Drosophila melanogaster: one gene and its partners. The protein of the gene in region 1 interacts with the protein of each later gene in a pairwise test. Each region holds a gene or a part of one and is shown on either strand. Other genes may lie near its edges.

The links. Proteins that work in one complex are often made in the same cells at the same time.
Region 2: the proteins of pcs (region 1) and CG31029 interact in a two-hybrid assay, tested with the Drosophila melanogaster proteins (one large-scale study listed by BioGRID).
Region 3: the proteins of pcs (region 1) and Cpr50Ca interact in a two-hybrid assay, tested with the Drosophila melanogaster proteins (one large-scale study listed by BioGRID).

The regions. Positions count from the first base shown.
Region 1 is NT_033778.4:14,979,478-14,984,284, reverse strand, and holds the start of pcs (parcas), read right to left. Parts: upstream 3,023-4,807; 5' UTR 2,504-3,022; coding exon 2,462-2,503; intron 1-2,461. Other genes in the region: ckn (caskin), read right to left, coding at 4,600-4,807.
Region 2 is NT_033777.3:30,128,779-30,134,345, forward strand, and holds CG31029 (uncharacterized protein), read right to left. Parts: upstream 3,618-5,567; 5' UTR 3,436-3,617; coding exon 3,002-3,435; intron 2,940-3,001; coding exon 1,680-2,939; intron 1,627-1,679; coding exon 603-1,626; 3' UTR 501-602; downstream 1-500. Other genes in the region: Ppi1 (protein phosphatase 1c interacting protein 1), read right to left, coding at 1-160; Tpi (triose phosphate isomerase), read right to left, coding at 4,464-4,670, 4,732-5,316, 5,501-5,567.
Region 3 is NT_033778.4:13,768,030-13,772,914, reverse strand, and holds the start of Cpr50Ca (cuticular protein 50Ca), read right to left. Parts: upstream 3,001-4,885; 5' UTR 2,942-3,000; intron 2,150-2,941; 5' UTR 1,941-2,149; coding exon 1,899-1,940; intron 1-1,898.

The DNA.
Region 1 (4,807 bases):
TTTGGAAGCGCAAACAAAATAAAAAGTAAACTCAATAATAAATAAATGAGAGCAAACTTATTCATCAAATATGAAGAGTGCTATGTAGTATTAAATGCAGTTTTTATCGGGACTGGTTATGAACTTTGTATTGTATGCACATAAATAATCTTGCGATATAAGCACAAGTTCGTATTCGCAATAAAAGATAAGCATAAAGAATATCATATACACTTTTGGGAGACACCTTTACGGTATATTTTTACATATATAGAGTAGACGTTGACTCACTTTTCGGACACGATTTTCTGATTCATAGACGCCTGGATCGAGTTCTCTAATTCGCGATACCCGTACTCTCACCTTGCTTACGTAACTGAGACCAGAGATAGCCGACTTCATTAGTCATTTATAATTTTTTATCAAATTCACCTGCACATAAAGTTTCCCTTGCTAATCTAATTATCAAATGGGGCAAGGCTACTAATTTATTTTTAAATTGCTACAAAGCTTTTCTCACTAATTTCTATCGTAAAAAAAGGCCCCTTTGTTTTTTTAATAAAGCAATTATCATCTAATCGATAAGTGACGCTTTGATGTGGATTGGTATGAGATTAGAAAGTTTGGGGCTCGAAAAACAAATCCGTAGCACGCAAATGACCATATTTTTAAGTTAACTGACGCGTGTGGAATTGTTTACAAAAAACATCTGTTAGGACACACGTTTTTGGTTAAATAGACTTTGCGACATCGACGCGGTGCCTATTCTTTGTCTATTGTTTGGCGTCATCAACTTGAAAACATCTCTTTAGATAAGAAATTTTGCACGCGCAAAATAAAAAAAAAAGAAGAACGCCAAATGCTCATTGATAAATCATTGGCAAATCGAAGGCAAAAAAACAACAAAGTCGACTTGTCGAAAGAGGAAGTCGAGCATAAAAACATTGAGAAAGAAGGCAAAAATAGGCGGAGCAAAATATTTCGCGTTTTTTTGTATAATGTAGCATGCGGTTTTTCGTAGAATTCTTAACCGGTTTCGGTACAGTTTTGTATTTGGTTTATAGAGCCGCACTAAAGATTGTTTATAGACAAAGTGAATATCTCCTACACATTTTCCCATACCTATACATATGTACTTTCGGACATTATCGACGAATCCAATCTAGTCACATGCCGTCTGTCTTCTGGGTTCGAAATCAAATTGTTGTTAATGACTTTGCGCCGCGTGTGGCGTCTCTCCCACTAAGTTTTGCATTTAAAAATAGGAATTATTGTAGGTCTACACCGGGATTTTCCTTTGTCTATGTAGGGGGTATTCTCACAATGGACGTACCATTCGATTGATCGCCCTGGATAAAGGTGTTTTTAACTTGAATAACCATTTTATACTTATATACTCATATACATAAATATATTCTCCTATTGATCACGGTTTGGAAACATTGTGTTTTTCACTATACTCATCCGATTTGAGTTTTTATTTTTACAGACTCGTATTATTTCCTGCCCATTTAAGGCTATTAGGCGAGTGTGCGACTATTTTGCGCAGTTGAATGAGCAGCATATGAATCTTGATTTATGCAAAAACTGCGACTTGCGCTTCAAGACACTTTTCAATTGTCTGGCTTACACAATAATATATAAAATACTCGAAATAGAAACAAAGGCGTGTTTGTTTTTTGTTGTTGCTGCTTTGGCTTGCGTGTGCGCTTTGGTATTTCCATTTATTAAATTTGTATGCATACCTCCTCCTCTCTCCCAAAAATGCGAAGAGATGAGCAAAGAAGAAGGGGCGAAAGATAAAGAGCAATAACCAAGTTGCACTTGAATCTCATTTAGGTACCGAGTTCAAATCCGTTGCGGGTAAAAAGAAAAAAAAAACCAGTTTACTTGGAAGTGCGTGGGATTATTTGACACCCTTTGTGATCCCTTTTTTCCTGCACTTTGTATTGTTTTCGGTTTTACAATGCATATTGAATAGTTCGTCGGAAAAGGAAACTTGCAATTTGCTTAAATGGCTCGTAAATTGATTTTCTGTGTTGGTTTTTGCTGTTGTATCGTTTTTGAAAACCAACAAAGCGTAAAAAAGGTTCACGCAATAAATGAGTAACGAAATGCAATGCAAAAACGCCTGTTTCCTATTTCCAAAATACAGTGCTCTATGTTTTTTGCTTGTAAGTTGTAAACATATTTTTGTATGAAAATCTAGGTGCACATTTATCACTTTGGTACAGTGGATACCCTCGGTCTTCACAATTCACCGAATCGGGTATGCACTGTACCAACAAAAACTGCACTGCAAAGAAGAGCAGGTGATAGAGAGAACTAGCAAGCAAACCAAAAACAAAGCAGCCTGAATATTGTTATTGTCATTAAAATACCGTTCCATTCAGTGCCAGGTACGAAAGAGAGAGGCATACAATGAGAGAGAGAGGGGGAGAAAATAGGAAGGACAGCAGGCAAATTGCCGAAGGAAAATCACCTGAATTTGGGGATCCAGCTCGCCGTCTTCTGCACTCGACATTTTTACTGGTTTTCACTGAATTCGTTCCAAATGCAAATATATCGCTAAACGCGTTAATTTTCACTTTTCTGCAGCCCGCTTTTCAATTGAAAAACGCTTTTGCATTTCACTATTTGATCTCGTTGCTACACAGACACATCCCACGACTATCAATTTGCTTGTGTGTTTTGTTTTTCTTTTTTTTTTCTGTGTTTTTTTCTATAATATTATGTAAATTGGTGTTGGCAATTTTAACTGGCAATTTGCTATGCGGGTACAGCAGCAGTATTAAAACAAATATTTCATTTTGCGTCTTATGTTTCACAACGAAGTTAAAAGCGAAAAGGGAAAGGGACACATGGCGATTACATTAAGTGTGAACAAGACGAACGGTACAAGTGGACAGGGCACGCGGCTTTTCACCTTCTCCTTCGCTCGGGGCATCTAAGATATTTAATTAACTCGCTTATAAAGGCTAAACTATCCTAAAAATTAAAGACGCGTCCAGACGCGACGAAATGAGAAGCTGAATTCGGTGTGACCGCAGCGCGGTGTTACCAGATAGTGAAATGCTGACCAGCAGTTGCTGAAATAAACATTTGGTATTTTTATTGTATTGGTATATTTCATTACAACGCTGGCATTGTTGCCAACTATTTTCAAGAAAAATAAACAATTAAAAAAATGTTTGATTTTCATTGCACCAGTTTGATAATGTAACAATTTATATTTAAAAAAATGCTAAGTTAACATATTAGTCTTCAAAATTACTCTTGGCGGGCTTGGTATTTTCTCTTACCATTACGTCATATGCCTCATCTACATAACCATCACATCACGTTACGTAGTTGATTCACTTCGTAACGTTATGAATAATTAAAAAAATTTTGTTTCAAAAAGGATTTTTGTTAAAGTTGCTAAATACGTATTAATGAAATATAAATAAATAGGTCTGACTAAGTAACAAAATATGCATTAAAACCAGAAACATTTTACTATGAAAGTTTACTTTATTTGTTATTTGTTTTCATCATTTTTGTTTTGCCCTTTATGTGCTTTACATGTTTGTGATTTTTTCGTATTTAATTTGTTTACTTTTCCTTATATGCGTTTATAAATCGAATACTCCAATTTCCTCTAATGATATGCGCACCAAACATATTTTTAACTGAGCGCAATTAACAGAAAACCGAAAATACTCTCAAAAAACAAAATTTTCACTAAAAGATTTTTATTTATGTAAATTATAAAGAAGAAGGCAATTCAGTTGTATACCACGGAATTTCATACGTTATTCAGCATCAATGCCCGATTAAACATAATTTATAAAGATGGATTCGTTTCCTTCTTTTATTTTTGATTTCTTAATTTAACGCTAATATAAGATTTATATTTTATATAATGCATCTTTTTACTTTGTATGGAATAACACTTAATTATACATTCATTTCATATAGTTTGATTTTAGTTGTAATCATAACAAAAAGAAACATTTCTGTGCAGCGTGATTTGAAAAAAATGAACAAAGAACTAAGGTACAAAATTCTAGAATAATACAATTTGAAATTGTCTGAATGGGATCTTTAAATAGTAGTTCTTGCCTGACTTTCATTGTGTTTGTTTAAGAGTGTGCCGTGTGGTTTATTTGTTGATTCCTCCTCTGTCGTATAGTATCAAACCACTAAATACTTGTCCATATAAATGATTTCGTTTAAATATTTATTTATATATCGAATTATATATATTTTATGCTATATAATAACTATGCAAGTTCTGCATATATGCATGTTGCGCTTCATTTACCATTCTTTTACTTGGTTATTTTCATTTTGTATTGTTAACACTCATAGTTTCGGGAATGGGAGGAGAGTTTAGGAAAAGTACAAAAGTATACATGGTTTGTCCAAAGCTTTTCAGTTGTAGTTGCTTTTTACTACACAGTGTGCATATCGAAATGATACAGAATACGATCCAATATAAATGCTTCTCCACACGCAATTGGAATAAGAAATACAAAAACAAATTGAACTTAACTAAGTTGAAGTACATAAAACATTACAAGATACACCACAACTTCTAAATTCAGCTACACTACGATTTGTTGTTTGATTGGAGATTTATTCACTGTCTATGTTTAGGCCCACTCGCTTCTCCTCCTCCAGCATGGCGTCCAGCTCGTCCGTGAGATTGGCCAGCATATTGCCAATGTCGTTCAGAACGTTCACCGAAACTTTGGGCGGAACGCCGTTGTTTATGGCCACAGTTGGTACGGCTGCTTCTGGCGAACTTGCAGGCTCCGCCGTTGATCCACCGGCATTTGACATA
Region 2 (5,567 bases), on another chromosome or scaffold:
TCTCCTGGTACGTGGAGCAGTGCATGTAGTCCGCTTTGCAGCTGCCCAATCGGGTGCTGACCAATCCGCGGTTCTTGTAGTAGGCATCCCAGTTCATTAGCTCTTCCACCGGCTTCTCCTTCTTCTCCACCGGCTCTGGCTTGCACTCGTACTTCTCCATCCTGGCCGGTTAGCAATCGATATAGGGTCGTCCACGAGTCTAAAATTTTTCTTGCACAAATAATTTTAAAAAAGCGCACGGGCTACGTCACGAGAATTCACATAAAAGTAAGCAATTTATAGATAACTTGAGCCTGAAGCGATCGACCTGAACTATCAATAGAGAATGAGCTGTGTTCAAGAATCGGACTGTAATGACCAGGTGAAGTAGAACTCACGGCATCCTGGGTTACATAGAACCACATTGGCATAGAATGACATACCAACACATTGTTTTAATAAATCTATGACTATGACTATGTTATTCAATTCATGCCAAAAGGGATAAAACCAATTCATTTATGTGGAATTCTTGGAATGCCGAAACCGTCATTTATTTAAAATGTAAAGGCTATGTATACTTGTGATTGCTAACATCAATGCATTTGGACTCCGCCACCATGTCAGTTAGACTTGTGCCAAGGTCTGTTTAGTGGGGTTGGATCGAACCTCCGGGGATCATCGTAGCCACCGACATTGCGGAAGGGAAGCTGCTTGCGTGGCTTCTTCTTGGGCGGATTTCGCAGGCGCGGCTTCGGTGGATCCGCGTGAACGTCGCCCTTTCCGTAGATCCATGGGAACATCTTCTTTCGCTCGCCCATCACGCATCCGCCGTATTGGACGAGCATGTTGGCCGGATGCGGGTACATGGTGGGAGCGGCCCAGTCGTGATCCACGTACTGGGTCTCCACGTGCGCTCTGTCCGGCTGTCGCACCCGTTCGGGCTTTATGACTCCCGCCGGAGGAGTAACCCCAAACTCGTACTCCCGATCGCTGTCATCATCGTCGCTGTTTGGGGAGTACACGAAGGTATCCGAGTTGTTTGGCCAACCACGCTGGCGACACTCGTTCTCCACCTCGTACTGAATTCGCTTCTTCTCAATGTGACTCCGGCAAAAGCAACTGGCCACCGGCCGGCGACAAGTGCAGGGGGCAAATCCCTTGTCCTGAAGATTCACTCTCATCTGGCGGAGTCCTGCTGCCATGGGATCCTTGGTAATACGAAAGACAACGGGCTTCATATCCGCATAAGGGTTGGCACTGGAGGCCAGGGCCTTGGGATCCTTTAATGGACGCAAGGTGATGATGTACTCATCTCCCTTCCGACTTATGTGCAGCGTTGGATGCTGCACTAGTGGCTCCTCCAGCTCCTCGACCCTGCGGCACTTTTTGTGTCGGTAGTGGTAACGCGAAAGGCAAATATTATCCGCAGGAAAGTCCTTTAGAAAGTAGGACATTAGTTGTCGGATGGGTCGAGAAATGGCTCCTGGGCGCCACGACTTGTGGCGCGCCATCTCGCTTTTGGTCCACATCCAACCCATGTGACAGGGAATCCTGCTGTAGCCCGTATGCTTGCTGCCCGAAATGCAGTCCAGATGCCCGATACGGGAGTCTTTGGATACCGTCTTCAGCTTCAAGAAGGTGTAGCTGCAAGATGAGAGTCTAATCTATCTGAACGCAATGTAGGTTTCATATCTCACCATCGGGACTTTTTGTGGTGGGTGCGCTCCTTCTTTATCCGCATTTTGGCTGGCTTGGGATAGGCCTTGTCAATCTCGTCCAGTGTCTTCTGCAGCGCCTTCCTGGCCTTCCTGCGGGCCTTGGCCGACTTGGTGTTACGGCAGGCTGCATCGCACTCCTTCCTCAGCTCCTCGGCCACCACGTCCGCCTCGTTGGCTCCCTTCTTCTTGCCGAACATATTCCGCATCTCCGTGAAGATGGAGATCAGTTGGGTACGACGAAGTGATTCGTCCGAGTTGGCTTGGTTCACCTTCTTGCTTTCCGGTTGTGATTTGCTTGGAGCTTGCGGATAAGCCTGTGGGAGTGGCTCAATCTTGCACTCATTTTCCTTAAAAAAGTTGTCGCAGAGCTTCCGGATGCGGCATCGAGTGCAGGGTTTCCCGCCCAAGCAGCCACATTGCTGCGGAACATTGGGATCATCCTTGTTCTTGTCGCCCATGGCTTCATCATCACCTTTGGACGGGTCCAGTTCACAGGTCTCCTTGCGCAGGCAGTCCCTTAGCAATTGCTGGGCAGTTGCCGTAAGATCGTAGGGCTGCTCGCTGGGCTGTATGTCCTCGAAGGTTTTGTAGCCACAGTAGGGACAGGCGGAGATCTTGGGCAGCCAACTGATGTCCGAACGGCAGAGCTGGCAGAGATTCGGTGGCTTGTAGGCCTCCTGTGTTAAAACAGGCTCTTTTACAGGACAGGTGCCCATGAGTCTTCGACGAGCAGCCCGCTCCATGGAGGCAGTCAAGGATATGGCCTTTCTCTTTCTAGGAGGCTTTTCCGCTGTGAACTCATTGGTGTCACAGGAGGAAGTATCTGTGCTGGAACTCGGCTGCTTGCACTTGCAATGCCAACGACGGGACTTTTCGTGTGTGTCTGGAGGACTGGGTACTTTTATCTCGTCTAGACCCAGTTCATCGACGAGCTTCTTCAGAGCGGCCTTTTCTCTCTTTTTCTCCGTGCCAACATCCGGAGGTAATTGCATTCCTTTCAGGAAACACCCACATCTGGCAAAGGCACCGCCTTTGTTATCCTGATCCTCCTGATTCTGACTTGCGGCGTGTGGACATTGGAAGGGTGCTCCCGCGTGCGACATCAGGCGCTCATCCGTGATGCAGCTGTTCGTTGCACACTTTCCGGAGCGTCCCAGGGTGAAGATAATATCCTTTTTGTTGATCGAATGATCCACAGGCTTGCACACGTCATAGCAGCCAAAGGGAATCAAGCCGTGGCTAGAGAGGATTGTGATTTAATAGGAATACTACATTTCCCCTATCTGGTTAACACCACTTACTTTATATCCGGTGAAGCGGAGCTGATCTTTAGGAGTAGCTCCACCTCACCCACTCGGTCGTTCTTAGGCCCTTTGGTCAGTTGAACTGTAACACTCTGGGTAACCGAAAAGCTGGGGTCTGTCAGCTGGCGCAGGATTGAAGATTCCAGCGTGGCGTTGCCCGATCCTATGAGCTCGTCGTTCTCTTTGAGAGTGACGCCTACGCCCTTGGATGTCAATGCTCCTATTAGCTCACAGGGACTGCTGGTAAAGCCACCCAATGCCTCTGTGGGAAACTGATCCACGAATATGCGTTCCATGGACAGCTCCTCAAAGTCCTCGAACAATCGAACCGAGTAGACGGGCCTCCCACCCGCACTGAAACTGGCGGACTTGCGGGGAATCGGCAAACTGGAGTTCACAAGGATAACGTCAAAGACATAGTACTGCGTCATGTTGATCTTCTAGGGAAACTATCGCTAAAACCAAGTTAAAATTTTCTTTACTCTCTAAAGATTTGGCTAAAAACTTATTTAATTTGTTCTGATATAAAACTCCAGTCTGAATAAAATCGATGTGTTCAGGATCAGAAATGACAATAAAAAGCTCAAAAACGGAGAACTAGAGCTTGTCAAATCGATAATGTATCTAAGGCCACTTGGGTTCAAGAATTCTCAGCCTGTTCATGTTTTGAGAAAAACTGAATAATATTTTGTTGATTTACTAACCATAAATTACTTACTAAGCTAAATAACTTATCAGCTACAAAGAAATTGCCTTGTTTAGCTCCATATTTGCCAAACTTTGTGCACAATCTTCGAACACTTCGATTAGAAATGAACTCTGAGTATAAGTATAAAGTATAATAAGTACAAACTGTTTTCCTTTCTTATCTCAAGTTAAGCTATCTTATGATGCATTGCTTCTTCTTGAAGGCTTTTATGCAAGATATTGTCAAAAACATGATGCAAATGATTTGATTCACTTGTTAGGTAAGTGAATACAATGATTGCCTCGATTACTCAGTTGGAACTCATATTCCAAATATTTGCCATTTCGCATGCTTATCAGAAATTAAGTAATAACTTGTTCGGTTTAAGGTCCGCAGAGGTGACACATATATGTACATATGTGCACACAACTTTGGACACCTTGTCGTTCAACCAATCGCTCTAAAAATAGCTGAAATAGTCTTGCAAAAAATAAGACACCTGTTTGGTTTGGTATATAAGTAAATGAGTAGCGCATAATTATTGCCTGAATAATTTAAGATTTACACAATGGACTACTATACGTTCAACAACAAGGATGTGAGTAGCATTCTCGCAAGGTAACTATGAATTTGGAACTGCACTTGGTGGTGACAACAACTAGGTGTGTGCGTAATGCATTCGCGCGCAGGAGTATGGAGTCCTGCCCTCCAGTGCCTCCTTCGCGGGCAGTTCGCTGGCCGAAAGCGATCTGATGCTTGAGATCGCGTTGCTTACTGCCGGGCGTTGATGATGTCCACGAACTCGGGCTTCAGGGAGGCGCCTCCGACCAGGAAGCCATCTATGTCGGGCTTCTTGGCCAGCTCCTTGGCGTTGGCGGCGGTCACGGATCCACCGTACTGGATGCGCAGGCTGGCGGACACCTCCTTGGAGATGTTGTCGCTCAGCCACTGGCGCAGGAAGGCGTGGACCTCTTGAGCCTGCAATTGGGAAGGGAAAATATCAGTTCTGGAAGAGATTAGCCTCTGCGGGCGACCTTACCTGATCGGGTGTGGCGGTCTGGCCGGTGCCAATGGCCCAGACGGGCTCGTAGGCCACCACCACGTTCTTCCAGTCCTTGATCTTCTGGGCGTAGGCGCACATTTGGCGGGCCACCACCTCGTTGGTCTTGCCGGCCTCGCGCTCCTCCAGGGTCTCACCAATGCAGGCGATGACCTTGAGGCCCTCGGCCAGGGCGTGCTCGGCCTTCTCGGCGATCAGGGCGTCCGATTCGCCGAAGATGGCGCGACGCTCCGAGTGTCCCAGGATCACCCAGTCGGCGCCGATGTCCTTCAGCATCGCAGGGGAGATCTCGCCGGTGAATGCGCCCTTGGCCACCTTGTAGGCATTCTGGCCGGCCAGACCCAGCTCGCAGGGCAGCAGGTTGCGGGCGTACATCAGGTAGATGGCCGGGCAGCCGATGACCACCTCCGTGTTGGGGTCGAGGGCGGCCGAGCTCAGGGTCTTGGCGATCTCGGCGATGGACTTCTGGTCGCCGTTCATCTTCCAGTTGCCTCCCACGCAGAACTTTCGGCTCATGTTGTTGCTGTTGCTGTCGGTGCAATCGGTGCTGAAATTGGCGTAGAACTGCGGATCGGGGGACAAAACAAGGGGACTGCTATTAGAGTGTTTGGAACTGATAATTTCAAGTGGGTAACTCGATGACTGGAGGCTCGCCGTCGACTTTTCCACTCAGATTTTTCCCAGATTCGAGATTAATCCCGGCACAGAGCACACACCCACCTCGAAGTTCGTCTGCTTATGTACTAACCTTCTTTTGACCTTCGTAAGTCTTCCACTGGCACTTGAAAAGCTTTGGGAAAACAGCTGTGAATTTG
Region 3 (4,885 bases), 1.2 Mb from region 1:
GGGACACGCGCTAGATTCGTTTGAAAACTCAATGCAAAGAAGCGATAAAAATTGTTGCTATTTGCGTTCGTTTCAGTTTGCTCAGTCGGATTTTATGGCATTAGAAGTGCTGCGAAAACTAGTTAACAATTCCTTTACGATCCGCTAAGAGAGGCAAAAGGAGCGAAACTACTACTTCAACTTCTACTCCTACTTCTAATACTACTATCTGCATGGCGTTTTAAAAGTTTTCTTTTGTTTTGACATTATTTGGGAAATTGAAACTGTAATATTTGCAGCGAGAGCTGCGAGAGCTAAAGTTTGATTAAATTACGTTTTTACCATTTGGCTTTCGAGTTTTACAGCTGTTTACAAGTTGTATTTATTGTACTGGCAGTTTAAAAGTGCTGAACTGGCTTTTATTGTACTCGGTTTATTTTTTCAAGACAAATAACCAATAATAAAAGTCAGCATGGCATGGAGGTGATAAACTTGTAAAAGCAATTCAATTAGTTTTGATCATCTTCTGGCTTCTTAGTTACAAGGGAATCAACATCTCAGTGGGCAAACAGAAGGTGTTTTTTGTATCAGCATTCAATTAGTTTTAGAAAAATCATTTATTTTGTGGAAATTCGTTTTGGGTTAATATAAACTAAATCACTATCTTTTGTTTGATTTGATTAAGTTTTGGATTCGTGTATGTTTTTATTTATTTATAATTTTTTCTCTAAAGTTCCATGTCTTTAACCCAATCAATACAAACACATTCCCTCTGGACTTTATTGTTCTCGTTCGCTTTCTTTCATGTCGAGCAGGTTGCTTCATTAAATGGTTTCTGTAATTGCTGTTTGGCCACAAGTTTGTTTAATTGTTGGCTGCAATATGCGCTTACGGCATCGTCTCTTGTTGTATGCAACAAGCCGGAAAAACGTGCCACCCAGACGAGTGGTATGGTGTGGAGTGGAGTGGGCCAAGACCCAGGGCCAAGACTAAGTTCCAGACCAAGAGCAAGACCAAGACGGAGAGCGAGTCGAGACAGCAGAAGAAATGGTAGCAGGCAGGCAAAAGGCACAGCTTGGGCTAATTGTTAATGTGGCAGTGAGATGTGGGTGGTGCAACGTGGGTAGTTACCAACTGCAGTGGCCGTGGCAGTTAGAACCAGTTTGGTCTTTTTTGCCCTGGCCAAAAACCGGCGGCAAAGTCAAGTTCAATGCACATAAAAGACTTTACGGGTCTAGAAAGTGCTGGGGGTACGAGTGCTTCCTGGGCCACAAGGAAACTTGGCTGAAAAGAAATGCCAGCAATGGTCGCAAACTTTTTTTTTTTTTTTTCCATCCACTTAAATTGCAAATTTCCAGTTTCGATTGCAAATGCTGCTGGTGCATTTTCCTTTCGTCCCGGCAGTTGGATATGGATTCCAATGTCGATTCGGTTAGATAACCACAGCGGGCCTTCATAAAGACCGGGGTCATAAAATGGAGAGCGTTTTGGCCAAAAAGCACAAACAATCAATGCCAGTTGCATAACGAATTTTTGAGCAAAGATACTTTGGAATACGCTTTATGATTTTAATGCCTGGTAATTAAACGAAGTCTGGCCAGTATTCGCTGGTTTCCGGGCTAATTGAAGTTCAAGTGCAATGAAAATAAATTGCTTGCGAAATGTGCGTGCGCCAGGAAAATGAGAAGAAGCCCGCCATATGCAGTGACTGGCCGCGTCCATTTCCTGGCCAGAAAATGAAAATCGCTGCATCGAAGGCCGACACTTTTCCCAGGCCCACGCCCAGAAATTTCGCTCGAAGTCTCTCCACTGGCGCTTGTTGTTTTCACGCCTCGATGGCCCTTGCAGTTGTCGGTTATTTATATTAAAATTTCAGAATGATGAACCCGACCCGAAACGAACCGACCCCATGTACTTACCATTAAGGTGGGGATGCCACCGCCGCAGATAGCCATTTCCATTTTCCTTGGATGTCGGCGGAAGTTCGGGCAAATGAGGCGTCAAGTTGCACGTTGCACTTTTCGCGTTTCCACAAAAGTGGCAGCTCAATTTGTAATTGTTGTTGAAATTTCTGTTATTCTCCCACGCTGTTTTTCGCCGTCTTGGTATTTTAAATACAAATTGTAAATGAGTTTGTTCAGCGTTGAACCTTATTGTTTGTTTGTCGGACCTGGAAAAGTATTCGTTCAGTTTGGTTAACTATCACAGCAGCTAATTGCGAAAAGTGCTTTTCAAATTCTCATATTAACTGTTTTAAACATTTCCCCATAATTATGAAACATCATAATTAACAAATTAGTAAAACAAAAATCATTATATGGTACTTTAACAGATGACACATCTGCAAAGGCTGTGTTAAATGAGTACTTTTTAAAACTATGAAGGCAGAAAAATAGTATCCTGCGATTTCAAAAATTCCTGTTCTTAGAAAATCAAATGAATGACAAATGAATGAATTATGTTTAATGAGAATTATTTCTGATCTTATATTCTTTACCAAAATCTTTTTCATTAGTAACTAAGAGATTTTTGAGATAAAACAAGACCATAAAATCTAATTTAACAAATTTAACTATCTAACTAATCGTTTTCGTTATTCGTCCTTAGATGTTTCACTTATAAGTTTCACTTTTGTCATTCAGTAAAATATTCATTAATTTGCTCGACGTTTAACTTGATGCGTTTATATTTTTTTGATTTAATTTATTTTAAGGTATATTATATCCTTGTTAGCCAGCACTTTGGTTAAATGTAATGCAAGCTCTTTATATTTTTTTTTTTTTTACAAAATGATTTTCTCATATCCTTTGCGGAGAAAAGCAAACTTTGACTATATTCATTCAACTTTGTCTTTGAGCTTTGTTTAAACTTGCTCGTCGCAGTCCTCGTTCGTTTCTCATTTATTTAATGCGACTTTTAATTTGAGTTTTCGTTTCGTTTCGTTTCGCTTTGCCTTGTTTACTTTTGGCTGGAAAAACTGTGGAGGAAAACCGCACGCTTGCGCGCTGCTGTTGCAACTGTGCCTCGAATTTTCGCGCCACTTGAGTTTTGTGTGTGTTCGGGGCCGCGCAGTTTTCACGGAGACAGCCGGTTTGTTGTTGGCTCGCTTTTCGCTGCCTCGCTTTTCCCATTTTCCATTTCCATTCCTTTGCCTTTGCCGAAAAGACTCGGCCATGTCTGGCGTATTGCTGTTGCATTTTCCATATTTTTTCTCCTCCTTCTTTTTTTTTTGAATTTTATTTTTTTATGTGTGGGGCATAATAAGCTGCTGATTAAATTTGCAACGCTCAGAAGGAAGTCGAATTTGCAATTTATTCGGGGAAATTCATTTGCATTCCAAATCTGTGGGGATAAATGGAAATTAGACAGGTGCTACGATGCCAAAAATGATTTTACCTATATTAATTGTTACATTTTTTATAAATTCCAATGATTAAGAGTTTATTAAAGTTGTCTTTATATTTGATATATATATTCTTCAAACAGAGCATTTCTTTTTCGACTTTTGAAAATTGAAAACCTCACCACTCACTTGATATTTGTCTTTTAGCTGGCTGCATTTCGAGCTGCTTTTTTGGCCATGGCTTTGGCCAAGGCGTTAGCCAACTTTTGACCATCAACATTTGCACAATATGCGCTGTTGCTGTGCTGATGACAACGAAATGTACAAGTTTTCCTACCATCTGTGTGCATTTTTCTTTATTTTTTACGAGGGCTTAGAGTGCGTGCGTCTGGGGATAAAACTGAGCTCAGTGCCGTCATGGTTGTATAATTAATTTATTAATGGCAACAAGTGAAATGCACTGCCACGCATTTCCTATAAGGCTTGGCCCAGCCTGATTATGTGATTTATAGGAACTTATATATTTATAAGTTTGATATTGATATTTATATTTGATTTATAGAACTTATACCCCTTGGTTGGTGTGATGTGGTGACTGGTGGGTAAGAGAGTGCTAACCCCTGGGAAAGTTCAACTGCAGATATTATGCAACAGGCAACCGCGAGTCACGCACGCGCTGCCGCAAATGAAGTAGCTGACAAATTATCTTTATTTCATTTTATATTATTTTATTGCAGCCCATGGTGGGACTTTAAAGCGGCTTAGAGTGGCGAGGTCGGACTATCTGTTCGAGTGCATCGAAACCTGGGCCAGATGCTGAGCTGATTGGGGATTTTTGGCTATGATTGGTGGTTACCACGGGAAAGAGAGTGAGAGAGAGAGGGGGGGAGGCGGCTTTTGGCACTTTCACATTTGTTTTTGCTGGTGTTGAAATTGAGTTATTAGAGGAGAGCCATGTAAGCGACCAGGGGCGTATACTTAATATTTAAGCAAGGGGGGGGGGGGGGTAATATTCCCAGCTTACTAATGAATACATATAATTTTTATCAATTTTATAAAATCGTTTCTTTTTCATGACCAGAGCTTTCGACATCACTTTCTTTACCCCTTCCGCCGAGAGTCTTAATTCCACACCTCTGGGCACGTTCCTCGGGCAATGTGCCAACCTCCTACCGAAAGCCACATAATTGCTGTAATCGCGGTGGAGATTTGCAATCTCGTAATAAATTCAGACACCGAAGATGCGCCAGAAGTTGGAGGAGCCGCTCCCTCCGGCCGGAAACCCCCATGTGGCCACCAGATGCGTCGCCAGTTGCAGCTGCAATAGGCGGAAATCTCACACAGAAAGTTGCATTGCGGATGCAGTCATCGTCGTCGTTGTCGTCTCCCGGCTCCATCTCCATTTCCATTCCCATTTCGATCTCCTCCAGACTTCGGTTGCATTTGTGCGGAAGTTTAACCAACTAACAAAGTGACTTCGAGCTCGAATCGGGGGCAACAATTGTTGGCCAAATGTGTGGATCTGTTAACGCTTCCAGCCGCTCATCCCGGTCAACTGGTTGA